Linked DNA regions of Caenorhabditis elegans. The protein of the gene in region 1 interacts with the protein of each later gene in a pairwise test. Each region holds a gene or a part of one and is shown in the gene's direction. Other genes may lie near its edges.

Evidence for each region.
Region 2: the proteins of nhr-34 (region 1) and srh-166 interact in a two-hybrid assay, tested with the Caenorhabditis elegans proteins (one large-scale study listed by BioGRID).
Region 3: the proteins of nhr-34 (region 1) and F35C8.5 interact in a two-hybrid assay, tested with the Caenorhabditis elegans proteins (one large-scale study listed by BioGRID).

The regions. Positions count from the first base shown.
Region 1 is NC_003282.8:9,668,073-9,676,452, reverse strand, and holds the start of nhr-34 (Nuclear hormone receptor family member nhr-34), read left to right. Parts: upstream 1-3,782; 5' UTR 3,783-3,791; coding exon 3,792-3,886; intron 3,887-7,148; coding exon 7,149-7,270; intron 7,271-7,376; coding exon 7,377-7,592; intron 7,593-8,234; exon of another isoform or gene 8,235-8,255; intron 8,256-8,380. UniProt on the Caenorhabditis elegans protein: Orphan nuclear receptor.
Region 2 is NC_003283.11:20,522,189-20,528,946, reverse strand, and holds srh-166 (Serpentine Receptor, class H), read left to right. Parts: upstream 1-3,080; coding exon 3,081-3,399; intron 3,400-3,456; coding exon 3,457-3,650; intron 3,651-3,715; coding exon 3,716-4,019; intron 4,020-4,059; coding exon 4,060-4,247; downstream 4,248-6,758. Other genes in the region: Y38H6C.13 (F-box domain-containing protein), read right to left, coding at 483-560, 610-691, 993-1,072; Y38H6C.24 (Transposase), read right to left, coding at 2,210-2,292, 2,392-2,494; fbxa-150 (F-box domain-containing protein), read right to left, coding at 4,486-4,630, 4,697-4,839, 5,053-5,621, 5,667-5,752, 6,178-6,326; Y38H6C.9 (DUF38 domain-containing protein), read left to right, coding at 6,677-6,717.
Region 3 is NC_003284.9:5,362,705-5,370,130, forward strand, and holds F35C8.5 (Cholesterol 25-hydroxylase-like protein), read left to right. Parts: upstream 1-3,108; 5' UTR 3,109-3,110; coding exon 3,111-3,206; intron 3,207-3,252; coding exon 3,253-3,340; intron 3,341-3,393; coding exon 3,394-3,671; intron 3,672-4,340; coding exon 4,341-4,430; intron 4,431-4,476; coding exon 4,477-4,581; intron 4,582-4,623; coding exon 4,624-4,869; 3' UTR 4,870-4,915; downstream 4,916-7,426. Other genes in the region: Dual specificity mitogen-activated protein kinase kinase jkk-1, read left to right, coding at 5,961-5,994, 6,651-6,758, 6,909-6,989, 7,037-7,147, 7,196-7,308; F35C8.8 (uncharacterized protein), read right to left, coding at 6,612-6,631. UniProt on the Caenorhabditis elegans protein: Probable sterol desaturase.

The DNA.
Region 1 (8,380 bases):
ATGCTAATTGGGCGGAGTTTGATTTTCCATGAAGTTTTCTGTTTTTTTCTGCTTCTATTGCCTGTAAATATTTTCAGAAATTGTCTAATCTCTCAATTGATCTTTTGAATCTTTCCAGTTTTCATCTTTAAAGAAACTGAACTTCCTTGTATTTTCTTGATCTGCAAATTTTTCCATCCTACAGACACGAGAAACAGTTGCATTTAATTCAAATCCAATCAAAAACAAATCCACCTACTGATTGAACTTTTGATTCTTTGAATTTTTCCGACCAATATGTGGGAAGAAAACAAAAACAGTCTCTTAACTTGACTGAAAGTCAATGGAAATTCAGTTGGCTGGATCTTTTTTTTCTGAAACTTCTCCGTTTTTATTACAAATTTTTACTGTTTCTTAGGTATTGTATTATTGTATTCTAATAGTAGGATATAATTCTATTGGTCTATCCAATATAATTGTACCTAGTCTAGAATTTTTAGAGACTATCCCATAACACATGGTATCCTTTTTATATTTCCATTTTTTTCGTCGGTTTTGCACTTTTGTACAAATTCTAGAAAAACAAACCTAAAAAGGGAGAAATAAGGAAAAACAACAAAAAAAACGAGATGAAAAAATAATTGAATGTGGTTCAAGTTGACGCCCCTTCTTTTCGTTTTCTCATTTTCTTCTCTTTCTAACTCTCCTTGTTTTTTTTTCTCTTTTTTGTTCATCATCTCTGTCTCATCTTTAAACCATTTATTTTCAAAATTTTGACAATGAAAACTTTATTTTTTCCAGGAAAAATTACAAAAGAATGATGGACGATTTACATCAACAACTACATCAAAATTACAAGTTAGTTTCAATTTAATTGGTTTAAAAATGGTTACGGTTTCATTTTTAATTAAAATATTTTCAATAAAATCTATTTTTTGAAACTTGTTCTTCATATTGATGACTTGGGTCTTAGCTGTATTTTGAGATCGTTGCTTTCTGACTTACCACACTACGGGTCCCAGAACTTCAGCTGCCTGTAATGTAATCAATCTTCCGGTTTCTTAGAAATGCTGACTAAAAATACTTTAACGTCTAGTGGCAATAATCACGTGCACAACTTAACCAATTGAACAAAATTCATGGTTTTTCTAGCTCTAAACCACGAAAAAATTCACTCTAATCAAGTGTTCAGTCAGAATCTGAGACCAAGTGATTATGAAAATACCTATATACCTAGACCACAACTTGACGCAAATCCTAATGAAGCCATACCACGATACTTGTTATGTTCCTCGTATTTTTGGAACTGATCATGCTCGTACTACAAAACACGGCAATACTCTAGTTTGTAGTATTTGCAGTTGGTGTTATTCGATAGATCAGATATAGTAAATGCACTAACATAATAAGATCAGATAAAAGTAGGCGGAGACTGGAAACCGCCAAATAATCCTATTTAAAATAGTCATTTAAAACGAGAGGAAAGTTCTAGGATGAGAAGATATTAAAAATATATATGCAGGAATTGTGTGTGTGTTTTGTTTTTCTGATCCTTTTTGCGACATCTTCCCTGGTTATAGGTGTTCACAGCTCCCCCGTTGACCAGACACTAGATTTCTTGTTTTTCCAATTTGAAGAAAAATGGAAAATAAGGGGTCTAATTTTCACAGGGGATTAGTAATTAGTAAGAATTTTGACTATGTAAAAGAAGTAATAATTGTACTGTTTTGTTTCGTGAAATTAATCTAAAAAACAAGAAATACCTTTCAAGTGTTTCAAGTTTTCAAGACGGTTTTGTTCATTTTACTATTGTGAAAAACTGAAAAAATTATTTATCAAAAATTTTTAGAAAGTAGAGATTTCGCATTGCAAGAAGATTCATTCTTGTGAAAAAGATTTTTTATTAAAAGTTTCAACAGGCGGTGCAGTTCCGTTTGGCGCTCTTGGCGCTCGCTTAGCATAAATTTACGCATAATTAATTTTCCCACTAAACGTTTTTAGAATGAAGCTGAAAGTGAGGTTTGCGTGTGCTTTGGCAGTAAACTAAGAGTATAGATGCCTATATAGGCACAGGCAGGCGTAGGTTGCAATGGCGAAGGTAGAAAATTTGAGAAATTAGGGCACAAGAGCAATACACCAATACAAAAAGGTCAGACAAATTACCTTCTTATTTATGTGATGAATTCTTTGGAAAGTCATATTGTAATCTGACTCTCGCATCTAGTCGCCATACCTTTTGTCTAATATTCGAAACCTTATCTACGTCGTTTTAACCACCCTCAATGCGTGTGTGTGTGCAAAAAGTGTGTTGTGTTTCGGTGGTGCAGAGATCACTGCTCCATCTTTTGATCTTTTTTCCGCATTTTCTGTTTTTCGTATATATTCAAAAGAAAACACTTTGTCCTCCTCCTTTTGCTTTGCGCGCACGCTTGCCAAACTCTAGTCTTCTTGACCACCACATCAAATCAGAACTTGTTGGTTTCAGATGAAAAAGGGGCGAGAAATATGAGAAGATCAAATGATCGTCTCTACTCTACTTGAATAATCTCAATATGCTGCTACGTGCTTGAAGTACGTAAAAAGAGCAAAAGATAATCTGTGCAATAACAGCTGATTATCGGGAGAGGAGGGCAGAGAGCTATTCTGATTGTAGGAATATGTCAGAAGCTGGTCTACGCCAACTGATCTTTCGAATTCCCCTGCCAGAGATTTTGACTAAAGTGAAGTCAGGTCAGAAGAGAAAATGTGTATTTTGTTTTGTTCTTCTGATTCTTTTTGGATCAATGAACATTTTTGAAATTGATATTTAATATAGTTTGTGTGGTATAAATGCTACGTTTATTCCCATGTTTTTTTCATTTCTGGGCAAGTTTTAGTAATTTATTTTATAGAATTCTCTTTGCAACTGATTACGAATAACTACATTTTGAAAATTGTACTTTTTATAACATTCAATTTTTAAAACTACTACTTTGTACTGTCAGCAATCAAAACTTCTTAATGAAAGTTTGCCGTACTCTTACTCTAATCAAGCGATCCGGTTTCGCATGACCTTCTCACCTTTTCAACTGCTTCACGTGACATCAATTATGAATAATGCAAACTTTCACTTAATTTTTTAAAATTTAACCGACATACATACCTGTTATAAATACAGAGCCGACGGGACGCGACTGAAAATGAATAAAATCGTGCTCCATACAATTTATGTTCTGACTAGTAAGCTTTTTCATTTTCATCCGTTCAGCCAATTTTCAAAATTTTGTACGCCTGACATGTTTTTATGCATACCGAATAAGAAATTCAAAAGGTTACATTCCACAATTTACAATTTGCAGTTAAAGCCTTTTTTAATTTTATAATTGTAAGCATTTTTTCAGTTCTGTAATCAAGAGTCCTACAAAAAAATTGGTGCACTCAACACTGTGCCCTGCTTTTCCCAAAAAATTATTTTTTTGTTGAAAAATCGTAGTTGAGAATTCTTGAACATAGGTTCGGCAAAACTGAAAAAAACACCTAGAGCTCACAGTGATTATTACAAAATTTAGAAAATATTGCTGAATCTAATTGTAAGTTTTGACGACTTTGTCACATTTTTTCTTGCCGTATTATCTGTAACTTGATCAAACAGTTGTTCCAGTTTTCCTAATAGTTTTCATGAAAAATAACGTATTTTGTACTCTTTTTCCTATCCCACATTCGATAATATTATCCACCATCATCATCAGAATTTCATCAATTTCTCCCATTTTTCTCTGTCATACAGGGTCATCGAAAGACCACGTGATGTAACGCTTTTGCAGGCACCTAGCATGACGGATTACTGTATTTTCAATATATCTTGGATGTCTGATCGTTTTGGGTGTGAAACTGGGAATGAAGACGTGCAAGAATGTATTGATAAAAGGTGGGAGAATGAAGAAAAAAGGAATAGATCAAAGAAAAAGGAAGAAGATAATATGATAGAAATTATGAAAAATGAAGATACGGTTAGGAAGACAACTAAACATGATAATCACTTATTTTGAGATCTTTTCGGAGAAAAATGATAACAAGAAAAAAAAAGAGATGATCGTGATTGTTTTATTTTTTAAATAAGAACTAATCTATTTGAGGGGTTTTCAATTAAAGACTTTTAACAGTAACTTATAAAAACACAGTATTGAAAGTTCGATTGTCGGCAGTTCATTCAAAATTGACAGATTTTAGAAGCTGTCTGCCTGCTTTGCAAGTTCACTCTTATCAGTATTAAACTGATATTACCAGCAATATATCCGCTAATTGATTAAATGAATTTTTAGTAAAAATAATTTGAGTAGACTGTAGTATATTCTGATTTGCAAGTTTTATTTGATCAAGAGTTTAAAAAGAGTCTAGTGAAGTCACATTGCATCAATTTGACAGGCCTTCTTTGTTTTGCATTATATCAATAGATTTTCGGATCTGCCAATGTTTTCAGGTGTGTCATATATGTTTTTTTGTTTGCTTTGTAAATATAAAAAAAACCTTTTTTCAAGAAAAAGTGACATGTTTTCCAGATACTGCTGCAAATTTTAACTTTGAAATAGTGTATTTTTTATTTTTCAGCGCAGAAACACGTGTAAATTCGGCGGTAAGACTGACTTGACGGCATGAACGTTCATTTGTTTATTTTCTGTAGAAAAACAGTTTTGACGAACCACTAAAACTAGATGCTTCCACGATTTCTAGAAGTTAAGCTGGAATTTCATACGCTGAATAATCGTGAACTCATGGCACAGGATTAAAAAATGCTTCCAAAAAGTTCAAGTTGTATTTTGGAATTAGTTCAAAAATTTTGGAAATCATAGACATCGGACTAAATTAAATAAGTTCGATTTTTGTCCATCTATCCATTTGCCTGTAACTTCCATAAATCACAACCAGTCCTTTGCCTCTACCAATTGATCGGATGGCGTCAATCGACTATCGATTCTTCGCCCGATGATATCATTCTTGTCCATTCCTGACCCTATCGACACGATTTTCTCATTTTATTCTGAATTCGGTGCAAACTGTACCTTTCAACATCGTCACTCTTTTTCCAGTAAATAACGGATTAGTCGGAGGGTTTTTGAATGTCAATTCCCACTTCAATCCTATAAAAATGTAAAACATTCTTCTCTGGTTGCTAACTATAAGACCAAAGATCCGAGCGTCTTGTTGACCATCGGGTCAGTAGTGCCACGTGGTGTCTCTCTACTCAATTCACACTCAATTTGATCTTTCGATCCACTCCTTTCTCTGCGTATCCACGTTGATACTTCTCTCGCCGCCCTTTGTACAAACAAACCGTCGGCAGAATTGAGAGGGAAAAGGACGAAAAGTTTCCATTTTTCAGTTGAAACGCTAGGGAAAAAGAGTAAAAGAGATGATGAAAGACAGTGAGTTTTACACTGATTATGTGTATTTTATGTTGGTCTTCAACTCTTTTTTTGCCTCGCTTTCAATCTCTCTCACTCACTGTTTCAATATCGTTTTTGACTATATTTGGTTGCAGGGAACTGTTTCTTGTTTCAATTGTCAGACTACACTTTTTTCACTGTAACAAGGAGCTTTTGTGATACGGAATAGCCATAGTCTTCAGAAATTGATTTTGAGAAATTTTTTCTTTCGTTTTTAGTGGAAATTGTATTTTTGATTTAATTTGTACTATTAAAAATGTGATAAAATTTTACTCAAACTTTTAAAATCTCGAAAATTCCCTTAATTCTATCCCTAAAATTTGAACTATTCTGTTAGTGTAGTAGACCAAGAAATGGTTTTTTCCAATGATTGTTTGATTTTCTTTTAATTTTTAAAAATATTTTTAGATTTAATATGCAACTTTAACCTTCTCAAAATAATCAGAATTACAGTTTTTTCACGCCTTCCAATGTTTTTTTTTCAATTTTGACACATTTAAATGTAATTATTTATACTGCATTCATTTTTTGGTCACATTCAAATTTATTTTATCAAGATTTCTCTGCTAGCTACTTAATTTTTAATGCAATTCCCCACATCAGTAACTTTCTGATCCTATATTGTTAGAAATCTATTTCCAAATTGAGAACTATTTACAGTTGTGTCGTCAATCTCTGTAGAAAGTTACAAGTTAAAAAAAAAGAACATATTCTATGAATATTATATCATAGTTTGATCATCTAGTTGTCTAATCTCAACTCTATATCGGTGGGTACTGCTACCCGTTTTTCTCCCCATACAAAAATCGCCTTGCACATCTGAATCTCTTCGTCACGTGACACTCACTAGCTCATCTATTTTCTCTAGGATTCTCTAGGACTGTCTGCGTCTCTGATTTTTGAATCCTCTCTCGTTTGAATCGATGTAGTTGTGTGACGCTGATTTTGAACGTTTGAACTCGCGCAGGATCGAGACGAAACATTTTTTCGGTATGCGCGTTGAAAAAGGAAACGAAAACGGTGCGAGAAAAGCGGTAGAGACATCGCAGACACGAGGTCAACTTGTGTCCCATTCCTGTTGATATTCTCACTTTTGAATTTCAGTTTTTGAGTTACTTCAAACTTTTTAAAAATACACAATTAATTGAAATATTATATGTGTATTTTTAAGACGTTCTACGGGAACTGCCCCTGATTGTTCACATCTTATTGAAATTTTTTGAACTCTACCCCAAATTGTGAAATTTCAACTCACTGCATCAGAACTAACAAAACTGAATTTTAAATCTTTCGTTAATTTCAAACTTCTGTTTCGAGTTTTAAATTCAATCTGGTTTGTCTTCCGTTTTTTAAAATTAATTCTTGAATGTAATTTTTGCAAATTCTTGATTTTTCATACACTTATTTTTGAGATGGATTAATGTCGTTTCGTCTTAATTTGTGGTCAACACAGTTTTTGAAATATAATAAATGTAGAAGTTTAGGTATAAGTGTTATCTTTGAAACTCATTTTCGTTTTTATTTTAATAATTTTTTTAAAGATATTATGAATATAGTTTTCTTTTGGCTTCAGTTTTTTTGCCCTATCCCACGATTTCAATCAACTAGAAATAATTAAAATTCAATTTTGATATATGTTTATACATATTCCTCATCTCTAATTATTTTTTCAGAAATTAATAAAAATTCTAAAAATAAAATTACTTAAATTCAGCACATTTTCACTTCTCAAATTTTAAATTTCAGCCCAAACGGCTCACCAACCACTTCAACTACGCATCGTCGTCAGAATTCGTCGTCCGGATTGGAGCCAGCTCGTAAACGACCAAAACTTTCTCCGCCTGTCTTGACAGCAATGCCATTGGATTGTAAGTTTTTGGATTAAGTATTATGTACATAGCTTGAAACATAAAAAAGTTTCTTACTTTTAATTATCCTTTTAAAAAATTGCTTAAAAATTATTATCTGTTTTAGTGACCGATGCAGTTTCACCTAACGAATCCCAAGCATGTACATCAAGTCTCAAGGGTGTCGTCACGGCTGCTGGAGCTGCTCAAATGTCCGTTGCAGATCGTATGACGTCATCATCGGTGGCACCTCCTCTCTGCATTGTACCCAGATCTGTCGAATTCATTAACCCGAAAACAGAAGATATGAGTATGGATATACCAATGGGAAATGTGCAAAGCGGTTTGTCTTTTTTTTCAACATCAAAAATTTCAGAAGACCAAAATACAATTGCATTAAAAACACAAAAAAATAAACTGTAAAAGTTTTTTTTTCGAAAAGCTTTAATTCAAATTTTCCTGTTTTTAGTTGTATTGCAAAAATATTAGAAACTTAAATTCCAGACTGATTATAGACTACGTTTTCAATTCTGAAAATATCCAAAACTGTAACTAAATTTTGAAAAAATAAACTGAAAAATGTGTTTTTAAAACGTAGTTTCTTAAAATTGATCCAAAAATTTATTTTTTATCATTGATTTCCCTGACTCCTATTTTAAGTTTGTCTGTTTATTTCTACCTTGACATTTTTATCCAGCAATTCTAAAAACTGCCCTTCCCGCAGAAAAAAGTGCAAACAGCACAATGAGCAGTATTTGTTCGTTTCAACAGGTACAATATCGAATCACATGTTTATCAACCAATTATGGTTTCGGTTTCAAATACACACAGTTTTGCAACTTTTCAAATAATTCAAATAATGACATCAACAACTTTATTAAACATTTGTCACGTGGTTTTGTGAACTCTCTGAGCCAAAGTTCAGACATCACTCACCTTTGAAAAATATATGTTTCGTTGTGCTAAGCACTGTCCATTGGAAAAAGTGTAAAGATCTAGAGTCGCATCAAAGAGAAAAGATTACAATTTTTGAAGATAAGAAATTGAAACATATAGTGAAACTACATTATATTTGTATAAACAAAAGTTATTACAAATAATACTAATAATTTTCACATTTTTTTGACTGCA
Region 2 (6,758 bases), on another chromosome or scaffold:
AAACTTTCTTACCTTGAGCTGTGACCAAGCAAAACCTGGTGAACAACCGCGAAACAAATATTGATCTGATATAAACGGTGTCGTCCATTTTAGGTGGAGTTCATACAACTTTGGCACAGTCGATATAATCGTTTGGTCCGGCACACCTTGGAACGCCAATTTATAAATTTTGATGTAGTCTTCCTCTCGAAGATTTCTTAGAAATAGCTGGCTTGGGTGGTTATTTCTAAAAATAGTCATAAGCTTTGCAACTCTCCGCCATGAGAACTTCCGCTCTTCACTGCAATCCAGGTGAACTTCCTTCACCCAGATCTTGATTTCTCGTTTCTGAATTTCAGCAACCAGAAGATCAAAAATTGATCGATTTGTGGATTGATAGAAAAGCTGAAGATCCAGTCGTTGAACGGTGGAGTTTTTGTTTTCAAAAACTCGGCAGAAATTTTGAATTGAAAACTTCTCGAATCCAAATCTACTGTTAGTTCTTAGGTCGACAATGTTTTTGAATGGAATTTTATCCACCGCCAAGCTGATGTAGTGTTGTCTGAATGCTTCATCAGATTCTGAAAACACTTTTTAAAAAATAATGTACAGCGTTCAAAGCCTACTTACAACAAATTCCAGGTTATCGAGGTGAGTTGGCAGTTTATCGACGAGCCTCATTTCTTGAGATGCACACAGACGAGTGTTATATCTGGAAAATAAAAAATTTGCGGGCAAGATGAAACAACTAGTTATCAAAGAATTAGGCATGAAGGTAGGCTAGGTAGGCATCGAATTTCAAAATGATACTGCACAAAAAATTTCCAAATATTTTTTATGGTGGGTCGAAATTGCGAAAGAGCCAAACTTTGCTAAAATCTGAAATTATGCCCATTTTTCTTTGTCGCAGCCAATGGAGTTTTGAAAACATTTTAGGCATTTTTTGTGAAGTCTCACTATGAACTTTTGTGATTGTGGACCTGTTTTAGTCTATTTCAACATATAAAAAATACCTGTCAGCAAATCCCATGTTTTTTATAACTTCTCTTTTGAGTTCTTCAGGCAATCTTGGCCAGTATTCGAAGGATTCCATGACGTTATTATTTAGACGGATGAATTGAAAAAAATTTGAGCACGCAGACAAAAAACTGAAAATTATGCCCTTCTACTTCAGTTTCGTGTGTGAGTTATCTCACGCCCTTTTGTTCTCCTAGCAACCTCATCTGTCCAGTGTTGTTTTAATTTCTCAGTTATCTCTGCGTCTTTCATCTAATATATTCATTGAAGTTCGAAAAAGGAGTTGTGTAGTATGTGAAAAAAATAAATAAATTTTTGGATGTTTCAGATGTTTCCTTGACAACCCGTGATGCTTGAGCCCAAAGCTGGAGATGCCTCCTCCTAGTTCCAGTAATTGCAGGAAAGGCATCGGAGAACCTTCGTAGTAGAAAAAATTACAGAGTTCGTCATAACAGAGGCCTCACCAAGAAAGCACCCTTTCTTAGACTAGTCTAGTTCCAAAAATTCCAGTTAAAGTATTTAATTTACAGTAAACTCCCTGTATACACGTGGTGTCCGAGTGTTCCATTTCGGTTTGATCTATTTAGATCTACAAAAATTGCAGGAATTGGGACGCAGAGTTCTCAACTTTCACATGGTGCTTACGTCACATTTTTTTGGGAAAAAATTGCCGCATTTTTTGTAGATCAAATCGTAGTGGGACATCCAGGCATGACATATGTATTCCGGTTAATTTCAGGGTTTGATGATGCCGTTTTTCAATTAGCTCATTTCACTCTTTCCCTCTGAAGCTAGATCCCCAAATAATACCATGGTAACCAAAACGATGATAATATTGGCAACACAAGAATATTGCGCACCTCTGAGTATGTTATACTATGTCCGTAATATCTGCGTCTGGCCAGGGAAACCTATTAATTTGGCCAACATTTTGAAGACTCAGAGACCCATCAGTGCATCGTTGGGCAGCAAAGCAAAGAGCTAATCTGCTGAGTTTGCTTAATGTAGTCATAGAGAATAAGATTTGTTCCTCATAAGATTTTCATTAATTTAAACAAAAATTTGGGAAGCAACCCCCCTTAGCTTTAGGAAAGAAAGACTACTTGAAAAAACTTTTTAATACAATTTGAATCACATTTATTATCAATTAACAGATAAAAAATGAAAAATGAGATCACACATCTTAAAAGGATAAAAAACAAAACATTTAAAATCAAGATCGAAGTGATAAGCCTTGGAACATAATGCGTTTTCCATTTTCTTGAATACTACCATTATACGAATCAATTAGAGTTTCTGAAATCAAGAAAATTACACAGTTGTTAAAATTACCAAGTTGGATTAACTCATGAAATTGATTTAAAAAAGAAGTTATCAAAACGAAAAATCCCTTACCTTCACTCCTAAAACTGCTTTTAAAATCAAAACCTTGAAATAACAGATAAAAATTGATAGCATACACGAAAATCATCAAAACTGCACCGATGTTAACTGACATTTTCCAAATCTCCAACACTTGGCTTCGTTTTAATATATATTCACCACCCTGAGCACTAATAGGACACGCCTACTTTTTCCAATTTCCTTTTCCTAGGTTTGGGGTTACGAAATATATGTAAGTACACTTTATTTTATGTTTGTAGTGAATTCCTAAACAAGTGAGTCACCTGGAAAGAGCCTTATCGGTGATAAGGAAATTGTGATGTGATTTTAATGTCTGGAGTTTTGTCTTGATAAGAAATGATTATTGTTAAGGTGATCAGGAAACACGAATATGATTCATAATTAATAAATATAAATCGCGGAAAAACAGAGTCGTTTTAGAGTTACATAGCAAATAGAGTGTTTACTAATTCTTGAAATTTCTGAATTTGATGGTTTTCTGTGGACCAATACTTTATTTTAAACCTTATCAATGAGCATTTTAGGTATGTTGTGTTTTTTGCCGTTCTTTTTTTTCAAATAAATGCCAGAGAAGCCTGACAGCATAAATCAGCAAAATTAATTAACAAAATTAATTGGAATGCAACGCCAAAAACATTCTCATTTCATTTCAACTTCCCTTTGCTAATTTCACTTGTCGAATGTGTAGCAAAACTCCAATATTATCTGATAAAGACACATATCATGCAAATGCTCTTCACATCCTTACCTCGTTCGAGGTTCCTATTCATATCTTCGGTGCTTATATTATCATAGCAAAGACTCCAAACAATATGAAAAATGTAAGAACGAATATGCTGGTTCTTCACTTGGCGGGTGCCTTATTAGACATTTATATGAGTTGCCTAGAAATTCCAGTATTCCTTTTACCTGCCTGCGCCGTATATCCACTTGGAGTACTAACGATGCTTGGGGTTTCAACTGTTTTTCAAGCCTACGTAGGGGTTTCCCTTATTGGAGGTATGGTTTATTCTGGTTGTGTAAACAGAAAACCATTTTTTAAAAATTAAAATTCAGTGATTGGAATGGCGATTCTTATGTTCTTCGAGGAGCGATATCACAAGTTAATCAGAAATCCAGGTGTAGATAGAAAACGTGGCTGGAAGTACGTTGTATACATTGCTATTCACTATATTATTTCAATAACGTTCATTCTACCTTGCTTTTTAAATATTCCCGATCAAAATCTTGGAAAACTAATGATTATGGAGGTTAGTTTAGTCCTCTAGCATTGAAATCTTTGGACCCAATTAAACAATTAGGTATTGAGTTTCAGACAAATCCCTGCATTCCAGAAGAAAAAATAAATCATCCCGATTTTTTTCTATTAATCACTGAATCTGGTCCGCTCTACTTGAGCCTCGGAATCGCGGCTCTTGTTATTCTCCCACAGGGCGCATTTTTCATCTTAAGTATATTTTGGTATCTTTTCACGCTGAAATCAAAATCGCGAGCCACAACTCGTCTGCAAAAACAGTTGTTCTTCGCAATGTGCTTACAAGTAGCCATTCCAATTTCCGCTATTTGTATTCCAGCCGGTTATTGCGTTGTAGTTGTTGTCGTCGGTTATTACAATCAAGGTAAGCCTCGTAAAGTTTGCAGAGTAATGAAGCCTTTTAGAAGCCAATAATCTTGCTGTATTTACAATGGCACTTCATGGAGGTCTATCAACGTTTGTTATGCTGACCGTGCACGCACCTTATCGAAATGCGACTTTGGAAGTATTTGGAATTAGTTTCAAACGAGTCGTACAGAAACCTAATCAAGTTTGGAACAAATCAGTCAATGAAACAGGAGTAGTACCGTAGTACACAAGTACCCTAGTACCCCAGTACCCCAGTACCCCAGTACCCCAGTACAATAGTCCCCTAGTATCCCATTACCCTAGTACCCTAGTACTCTACATAGTACCCTAGTACCCAAGTACCCTAGTACCCTAGTACCCGTTACGCACATCTTGTGCCTGGTGTCCGACAAGCAGTTAAAAACTATTCTGTGATATAAAATAATTCATTGATAACAATTTGTGCTTATAATTAAAATTTACTAAAATTTCGTTCGAAACGTTTCCCAAATATGATCCCGGCTGCAAATTGATCCAGTCACATCAAATATGCTGATTGAGACAACGAGAATATTGTTGGAGTCCTCTACATCGAAGAACTGCACGTGATAAGTGTAGGCTGGGTAGCTGAAGTAGAAATATTTATATTTAGTTTCAATGGGAAACTATCGAAAATGTTCCTCTAAAACTCACCTCAATTGTAATGCGGCAATTGTAGGAGGCTGATGCTTTGGCTGAACATCGAATTGGCGCAAAACTTGCAAGTGATCAATGATTACAGCAACCTCAATGTTGAAAAACGAGCCAATGGGTAGGTTGGGTCTCGAGCGGAAGTTCTAAAAATTTGATGTGATGACTATGTATGTAGATTGAGAATAAAGTTGGTACAGCACCGAGCGACCCACGATTTAATCTTTATTGTTGTAAAAGAAGTATTAGGCAAGGGTTCAAATTAACTATGGGCTACGGCCTACTTGTTCGGACAAGTGCCTAAATGCGGATCTCTACGTGGACCTGGTAAGGTTTGGACAGCTACCTTCTTGTCTCACCTTGATCACTTTCCAAGCATCTTCCGGTACCAGCTGATGCACTGTGAGCATGTATTTCTCCACGTGGCTCAGCATGGCATAGTCCACTACGACAGTTTGATCTACCCCAGGCGTGTACCCCCTCGGATTCTTCTTGGCGTGAAGATCCAAGGATTTAGCTCTCTTGAAATGATCGGTAATTTTCAGTTTGTCAAAAACCTTCCCACTCAGCGATTTCATTGTGATTTTTTCTAGGTATTCCATTTCGAAGCGGCTTAGGAGCTTTTGAATCCATTTCGACGTAGATTCATTGCAGTCTATTGCGATTTCTCGAGCTTTGATAATAATTTCGGATTTTTCAAGTTCTGAAATCAAAAGTGGCATAATTGAACGATGAGTCGATCGGAATGGGAATTCGAACACAACTCGTTTTGCATTTGAGTTTTTGTTACGGAAAATTCGACAGAAAGTCTCAACTGCCCCGACTCCAACGGCCATCCTAGTTTCTTGATTGAAATTTTTAAGTTTTTTGTTAGGAATATTGTCAATGTCCAGGAAGATATAATATTTCTTATTGGTTGGGTCGGATCCTGAATGAATGTTTTTTTCTCCAAAAATTGTAGAAGGACACGAACCTTCAAGAAAATTGATACTGTTCAAGTTTTCTGGAATTTTGTCAGCCAAAATCATTTCTGTGCGTGAACATTGACGGATGATGCTTCTGGAAATTATTGGTGTTTTTTGGTTTGCACGTTTTTTTGAGAGAGCTCATTCTAAAATTATAGTCTGAAATACAGAAAACATTTTTGAAAATACTTTTTCACTGAAACAAGAGAAACTCTAGTTTTTTTTTTGAAAGAAAATGTTTCGACGGGAACTTCAAATTTTCTAAAAAATGTTTGGCGGGATATTCTATTTTTCAACCAAAAGTTTTCAGATACATAGAAAAAATAAAAATTTTCAAAGGGCTTTCAGAATTTTGTCTAACCTAGACAGTTTCCAAATCAACAAAAATTTGCAAAAACTCCGCTCGACTTTTTTTCAGGACCAAAATGCTCCACCGCAGCTGATTTTTTTTGTTGAGAGTTTATTTTAAAGGTTTTCTTTAAACTTCATTATTAGAACAGTCAGAAAATTTTTTCGTACCTATCTTCAAAATCCAGCTGTTTCAGTACTTCTCTCATAATATCCTCAGGCAATTTTTGCCATTGACTGAATTTTCTGTTTTTGAGATTTTTCTTTTTGCTCATTTTGTCGCATTTTGTGTGCAAAGGTAAATCCGGTTTGTTCTTCATAGCCAATTCTTGAGAATCTGAAATAAAAAGAAAAATATTGAGAAATATTGCAAAATTTGCATTAAAACGAAAGCGATGATTCAATTCAAAAAAACACGTCAATTTTTCAGCAAAAAAAAATGAAAAAAGTCAAAACCATAAAATATTTGTCACATTCGAGGCAGGCAAGGAAAACGAGAGGGTTAGAGAAATAGACAAAAAAGAAAACATATTGCGAAATAATGCAAATGTGAAAAATAATGGTTCTGTATCGTTTTTTTTTTCTTGGCAAGAATTATTGGATTTTATTTTGTACAGCAATTTATTAGAAAATGAGAAATTTCGAAAAATGGCCTGAACTGCCGGAGGACATGAAGTTGGAAGTAATGAAATATTTGACTTTTGGAGAGAGGTTAGTTTAATTTTAAGCATTGGAAAATTAAAATAACTTTC
Region 3 (7,426 bases), on another chromosome or scaffold:
AAGTGGAGTGTCAGTTGTAGGGATTTTGCTTCAAATTCCTACAAATAGCTCGGAAAAAATCCGCGGGACGATAATTCCACAAAGATTTTTAACTGCATTATTTTTAATTGACTTTTGTTGTTTTAATTTTTTGTTGTTTTGTGGAACGTTCGTTTCAGCTAATCCGGATTCCCAAACAGAATTTTAATTACGCTATTTTATTGTTCAGGACCATTTTGGGTCAAATAAGCCCAGAAACGCCAATGCCCTTAAAAATATTTCTGTGTTCAATTTTTATTTCTCATTTGAAAATTCAACTTCCGCTTTGAATTACGCGAACTTTTTTTTTACCACCATTAGTAATGTTTCTTTTGAAGTTGTGATTTCATAGATAATTATAACTTTCAGAGATAATACTTCCAATAGTTCGTTTTTTTTTCAGAACTAATTGGAAAAAAACCCTGAACTCTAATATTAGTAACGCCACCACACCAAATCAAAAAATAAAATTTTCAAGTAAGACAGTAGGAACATAAAATAAACGGGATGTCCAAAAAATATAGAAGCCCTCAAAATAATTGCACCTATCTTGCTTTCACATCGTTTTACTTTAGGAACGACTCGCCTTTTTTTTTTTGAACAATTGCACCTGCTGTGGGTTGTTTCCTTTGGCTTTTCCTTTTTTGCCACTAGTACGAATAATTTTTAGTGCAAAAAGCTTTACAACAGCTAGTAGAAAAAATATTTTTGAAATTTTACCTACCTCCTTTGTAAATTGAAGTCGCTCATAGGGTTGTTGTCCCGTTTGGACTCTGCCGTCCCTGAAAAAGATTAAATTTAAAAAAAATACAAGAGCAGGTTTTTGTTTTGTGATGCTCTTTTTTTTAATTTATAAAAGAAAATTGTAGACATTCATTCTTTAACTCTAAGAATATAATACCATTAAGTAATACACATATGTAGTTCACATCTGTTTCATTACGTTCAATAAACACATCACAATTATCTTTTTTTTTTATAAAAAGGAAGCCCCTGAAAAATCATGTGAAAAATTTCACCTGGAGCAGTCTGAATTGCCATTGCAGAGTTGCGGCAAAACTGAGGGGCAGCTGAAAAAAACATATGAAACCATATTAAAATAAATAAACTACAGTGTCCTGTAACAGAAAATGAAACAAAACGAGCGAGGCTATCAAGTTGAAGTTAAAACTGAAGCCTTTCAGTCAAAGATATCTCTATAGTAACCTGAATAACATTCAATTTTCTAACTCTCCCCCATAATCACACGCTATGCGCTTGCTTTTGTTGATAAGTTTTTTGTCGGTTTTTGTGAAACGAAACGAAACCCAATTAGAGAGAGACGATTGCTATGGGAACTCGGCGCATATTTCCTCTTGGGGTTTTGACATCATGTCTAGAAACTCAAAACTTGAAATCATAATGTATACATCAAGTTCTGTTTCACCAAACAAACAACAAATCTAAAAAAAATTCTAAGTAATATATACAAGACACAACTCAACCTTCAATTTTTTCCTTATCGTTTCCTACCAGATTTATACTAAAAACTGACCTTCATAACTGTAGTTGTATTGTTTCATAGTTAGTGCAAATGCAGTAGCAGCAAAAAACGCGGCACAATGAAAGCGAAACACACCTTGCCACGGCTAACTATGTATTTACTTTTGGCCTACTCTTCCTCCCAAATGTTCAGAGATGAAAACAAATAGATATTACGGTTTGTAAGCAAACGTGTGAACTTTTGAATGTTCGCAAGTCAAGATATAGAGTTGAATTCCGAAAAATAATAGAAAACTGTAGTGAAATTGAAGGTGAAAATTGAAAATTGAGCAACAAGTATAGCCGAGCAACCAAAGGAAAGATATTGTAAAGTGAAAAAGATTTACGATAAGGATTGATTAAAAATTGTACTTGCCTGATGATTGCAAGCGCTTGTTGTTGAATCAAGAACATCAAGAAGCCGAAAGGAAAAAATTCATTAGCCTTTTTGGGAAATGAGCGGTGATGATGCCGTGAAGGAAGTTGTGTGCACTATGTTGAAGTAATAACATATCCGGGTCACCTGAAAGTGTATAAAAAATGTTGGACTAGAAAGAAATGTACATCAAACATTAAAAAATTCAATATCCAGGTCACAATATACTATAGTTCATTTTTCATCTTTCTAGCCAAAAAAAAACTTAATCTTTAGAACTGAGGCTTAATTTTTAAGCTGCGTTTTAAGAAATATGCTTTCAGGCTACTGTTTTCAAGCTGCCTTTTTAGGCTCAGTGATGATAAATATTTTCAGGTTTAGATCTTCAGGCTTAGTTTTTAGGCTTGATTTATATTCTGAGGTTATCAGGTTTAGGTTTTCAAATACGTTTTTCGAAACATTCAACATTTATAAACATTGACTCCACGTGAAAAGTTTCATGAAGTATCAAAAATGAAAAAGAAAAAACCTTCGTAAAACTATGAACATAAAGAAAAAAATTTGAAAAGTGATTGAAAAAAAATTACACTGCTCAAAACACACATTTCAAACATTTTGTTCTGTACCTGTACATCATTTTTTGAAAGCGATGTAACCACTGTGTTTTGTAAAGTTCTTGTTCATTATAATTCACACGTGTTTAAAATAATTTTTTAGTTATCAGAATGACATTACAAGTGGTGATGATAACTGATTAGTAGTAGACATACCGGTTATTTTGCACGCGGTTTTACTCGTTCAATCTTTTGAAGGTTATACAAATCTAACACCTTTCAAAGAAAATGACATACATACTTATTTTTATGGGTGTTTATAAATTTATACTGTTTTCATGTATTTTAGGAAATAAATAATTTTAACGAGCTTTTTTCAAAATTGTATGTCTTATGTCCATGAATGGTAATTATAATTGTAGTCTAGTAGTTATTTTTGTTGAAATTTAAATACTTTGCTTTCAGTACTTTTCCATCATCATACGTCTCTCAATTGGCTTCTACTTGCTCTCTTATCATTAACCATTTTTATGATAACCAGACGCATAGTTTCATTTTCTCAGACCATATTTATTTTTCAATTTATTTGTTTCTTTTTGTATTCTGTTGAATTTTGAGCTACAATTGTGTGGTATTTTTAGATGTTAGACCTATACCCTGTTCAAAATTTAACAGTTGATCAGTTGGAATACGAGAAGAATACACGATTTCTTCAACCGGCATGGGATTGGATCAAAGTTAGTTTCACCTAACCTTTTTTTGTAAATCATGATTCGATTCCAGAATGGAAATGAACACATTTTAAGCTCGCCGCTTTTCCCGCCGTTCTATGCGCTCTCAATCGATTACACTTGGGTAGCCGTTTTCACATGTAAGCACGTACCACGGGTTGATAACATTGAATTAAACTACAAAATGTTTCAGTTATTGACGTGTTTCTGTGCAACGTTCCATTTTTCAAAGATGCAAAAATCCAAAAAGATCGAAAAGTGACCTGGGATTTGATAAAGAAGTCACTGAAGCTTCAAGGATGGAATCAGCTCCTGTGGATTTACCCGATGGCACTTGTCCAGTTAATTTGGGTACCTGATACAGAGCTTCCTATCCTGGCACCAACAGTTTTTGAAATGCTTTCACAGCTGGCTATATTTTTCCTGGCCTTTGATTTCACATATTTCTGGTTCCATTATATCAATCACAAGGTAATTGATAACAAACAACGGTTGCATGTGTGAAGTATGATTGGAGTAGTCATAAAACACGGTTTTTAATAACTTGTAAATCGAGTTACATTGAAACTAATTAGACCATGTTTCACAATATAATTCAAAACCTTCTCTGAATGTATATAATCGGGAACTCACCAGCTACAAATAATTTTTTGTTGTGCAAAGCTCGCCAATTTTCCACCAGGTTTACATTCGTTTAGGCAAAAGTTTCCAAAACGTTGCACATTCCGAGTACTAATTCATATTGCGGAACCTGTCATTTTGTCGAAACGTCCTGATAGGAACTTTTTGATTGTTGCAAACGTTTCAGTGTTTATTTTTACGATTCCTATTATTTGGTTATCCATGTATGCAAAGAGGTTTATTAAAATGTATATTTTGACGTCACATAATGCATTTTAGTTTATGCTATGACGTCATAATTTACATCAATGTTGATTTCTTCATTAGCAGCTTTTCTCTCACTTGAAATTAAGATTCGAAATAATTTTTTACCAACGTTAAGCACGTTTCAGTTTGAATTTCATAAAGCTATTACATATTTTTCAGCGATTCAAAAATTATATTATCAGTGGAATGAATCACTGATAGTCATAATTGTCCTATACACAAATCATGGTAATATCACTCAACATTTTGCAGGTAAAATGGCTCTACCGCTGGTGTCACTCTGTTCATCATATGTACTCATCCCCATTCGCAGCATCTGCACAACATCTTCACCCATTTGAGGTTTTTGAAAATTGAGATTTATAACTAAAATAGTAAGTTTTTTCAGCTGTTCTTTGTTGGAACATTCATCACCACTATCCCATGGATCTTCCCAACTCACTGCTTGACCTACTGGATTTGGTTCTTTATCGCCCAGAGCGTCTCTTATGAGGTATTAAAATTTGACCTTTAAAGTTGACAAAGTTGAATTCAGGTTCACATTGGATACGACTTCCCATTTGCTCTTCATCGCATTTTCTGGTTCTACTCGGGTGCTCCGGCTCATGACATGCACCATCTGAGACCACTGACATGTTTCCAACCGTGGTTCAACTATCTCGACAGACTCATGGGTTACCATATTACCTACGCCGATTTGAAAAAGATGACCGAGGCAAAATTCAAAAAGTTCGGGCTCTATTCAGCTGAAGACGAGAAAGGATTAATCAAAATTAACTAAGCCACGTACATGTATTACCCCGTAACGCAATAAACGAACTTTTTTTGCTGTTGAAATGTGCATGAGTGAGCAAGACTTTTTCGGAACTTTGTGTTTGCTCCCAGACAGACCGGAAAATGTGAAAGTAACTGAATCAGAAGAAATGTGGTATTGAAACGTGAGATCTTGCAAAAGGAACTAAGAACACGAGACTTGACCAAAAGTTCAAAAGGTTGCTTGAAATGTAAATAATTTTAAATCTGAAATATCCCCCACCAAAAGGGTTAACCTGTCCAAATTGTGGTAAATCTATTTTTTTTAATTGAATTTTGTTTTCATAGTCAAACAATCGTAATTCTGAAACGTGGCCAAAAATGTCTACAAGTTTTAAAACAAGCAACTGTGACTCAAACATTTGTTCGGAGTATTATTTTTAACCAGGTGAATCGTTTCTATTTGGAACCTCGAATCGTCTTCAACAGAACATGCTTCACCCAATTTTCTCGCTGATGAGATTTGTGCAGAGGCGCATGTCTGTGTGTCATCGTGTAACTTCTATTTGCCGGCACAAAGAAGATGAGCAACAAAAAGACCTCCTCCAAACTTGCCCCCATTCAAATCGCCCATTAGCGTTTAGCCTTTCTCTCTTATAGGACCACCCATTGAAGCTGCAAAGATTCACGCATCCCAAACGCGTCGAAATAGAGGATGATGGGGGGACCAATTGGAAATGAGACATGCGCGAGAAGAGAGAAAGAGCCGAAGAAAGGAGCAGTTCTTCCCGCATATTTTCACTAGTATGTGTGTGCATTTATAGCCTTCCCCCTTCTCCTTCTTCACGGCTCCTCCTCCACGATGTGGGTGATGAGAGCGAAGAGGGGCCAGACCGGGAGCCCCTGCGCTTCTTCGACTAGCATTGTGCATTCAGAATCGATAGCTGTGTGTGTCTTGCCATTTCGTCTACTACATTGGGCTAGTGGTGCTGCTGCTGCTGTCGCTGCCGCGAGGAACCTCACATACGTCTTCTTATTAAAATTTCGGAACGAGCGACGACGGCCAACGGGTCATTCTTTCATTCTTTTATTTTGTTGTCAACTCTACCTTGGTTTTAAATGGAGAATGTCTGTTTTCAGCAAAGATTACGAGGTAAACATATAATTTTTCATATATTTGTTTATTGTCGGCTGAGTACGTAGCAAAATATTCGTAGATTATGTATATTCCGTTTAGAATCTTTGATGAAAATTTAATGAACTGCAAAACAGGTCAACCAAGTTGCTGATTGCCAGAAAGTAGCCTTAGGTTCGGAAATCATCGGTTGTCGGCTGCCGAAAGTTTTATCGTTCGCCAACTTCGGCAACTTTCGATATTAATTTCAATTGTTTTGTAAATACGCATTCAAAGACCCTAAATATTGCGAATATCGTCACTGTAAATAAAACAATTATATTTTTTCCTCGAAAAACACTCTGAAATATGAGTTTAACAGAAATATATGTTTGAACAACGCCAAGGCCTCGGCAGCCGACGGTTGCCGGTTGCTGAAAATTTCAGCGATTGGCAAATTCGGTAACCGCTCATTGACTGATACCCAGATGATGCTGATGCAATTAATTTTCAACCTGTAACCTAAATTTTAGTGAAACAAGGTAGCCAACGAACTTATACCTCTTGATAAGAAAAGTACTTGGCTTCTCGGGCAATAGGTACCACAAAAACTACTAAAAATAACCAAAGTGTCAATCAGCGCCAAACACACAATCTCATTTCCTCCGTGTTGAGTCTGTAATAATTGATTTTAGATCTGGAGACGAGGGTGAGAAAATGGAAATTCTTGAAGTTGGGATTGACTGAGGTTCGGCTACGGCCGAGAGATCGCCGATCAACTTCGGTAGATCAAAAACATAAAGGTTTGTCTTGAAATATTGGTGTCTAGCCTTCAAATGGCATCATTATTCTTAAAATTCCATCTAATTATTCTTTGTGATGAGATCATCGGCTCAATTCCAAAAAACACGTATGTGTTGTCATTCTTAATTCCCTCAAATTTTGTTTTACAGAATGCTCTTCCACATCTTCAAGTCCTCAACACCAACGGCCGAATAACATTGGGTATTTAACAAGCCCCATGGAAAGAAAATGTGTGCCTGGAGAACGACCTTTAGTTATTACATACATACAATTTCAGTTACTCCGCTTTCCATGAAACCATCGCCATCCAGAAGAGATACTGAGAAAGATGCGTTGGAATACGAGTTTCTAGAAGGGTACAAGAAATCGGGAACATTAGAAATTGATGGTAAGACATACATCAAAGCTTTAATTTTTAAAATCTTTTTCCTATCAGGAGAAAAGCAAGTTGTCGACCCAAACGAGATTCACATCATCAGCCTGCTCGGAAGCGGCTCTTGTGGTGTAGTCGAATCTGCGACGGTTCGCTCAAAATTGATGGCTGTGAAGGTGAGCATTACCCCTCACACGGAGGCAGTGATGTATGGTTGAGATACACATCCGGACCACTTTGAATAGAATAAATCTTGCATGGCTCCAGTATGAACTCTTGAAAAAAGATTGACAG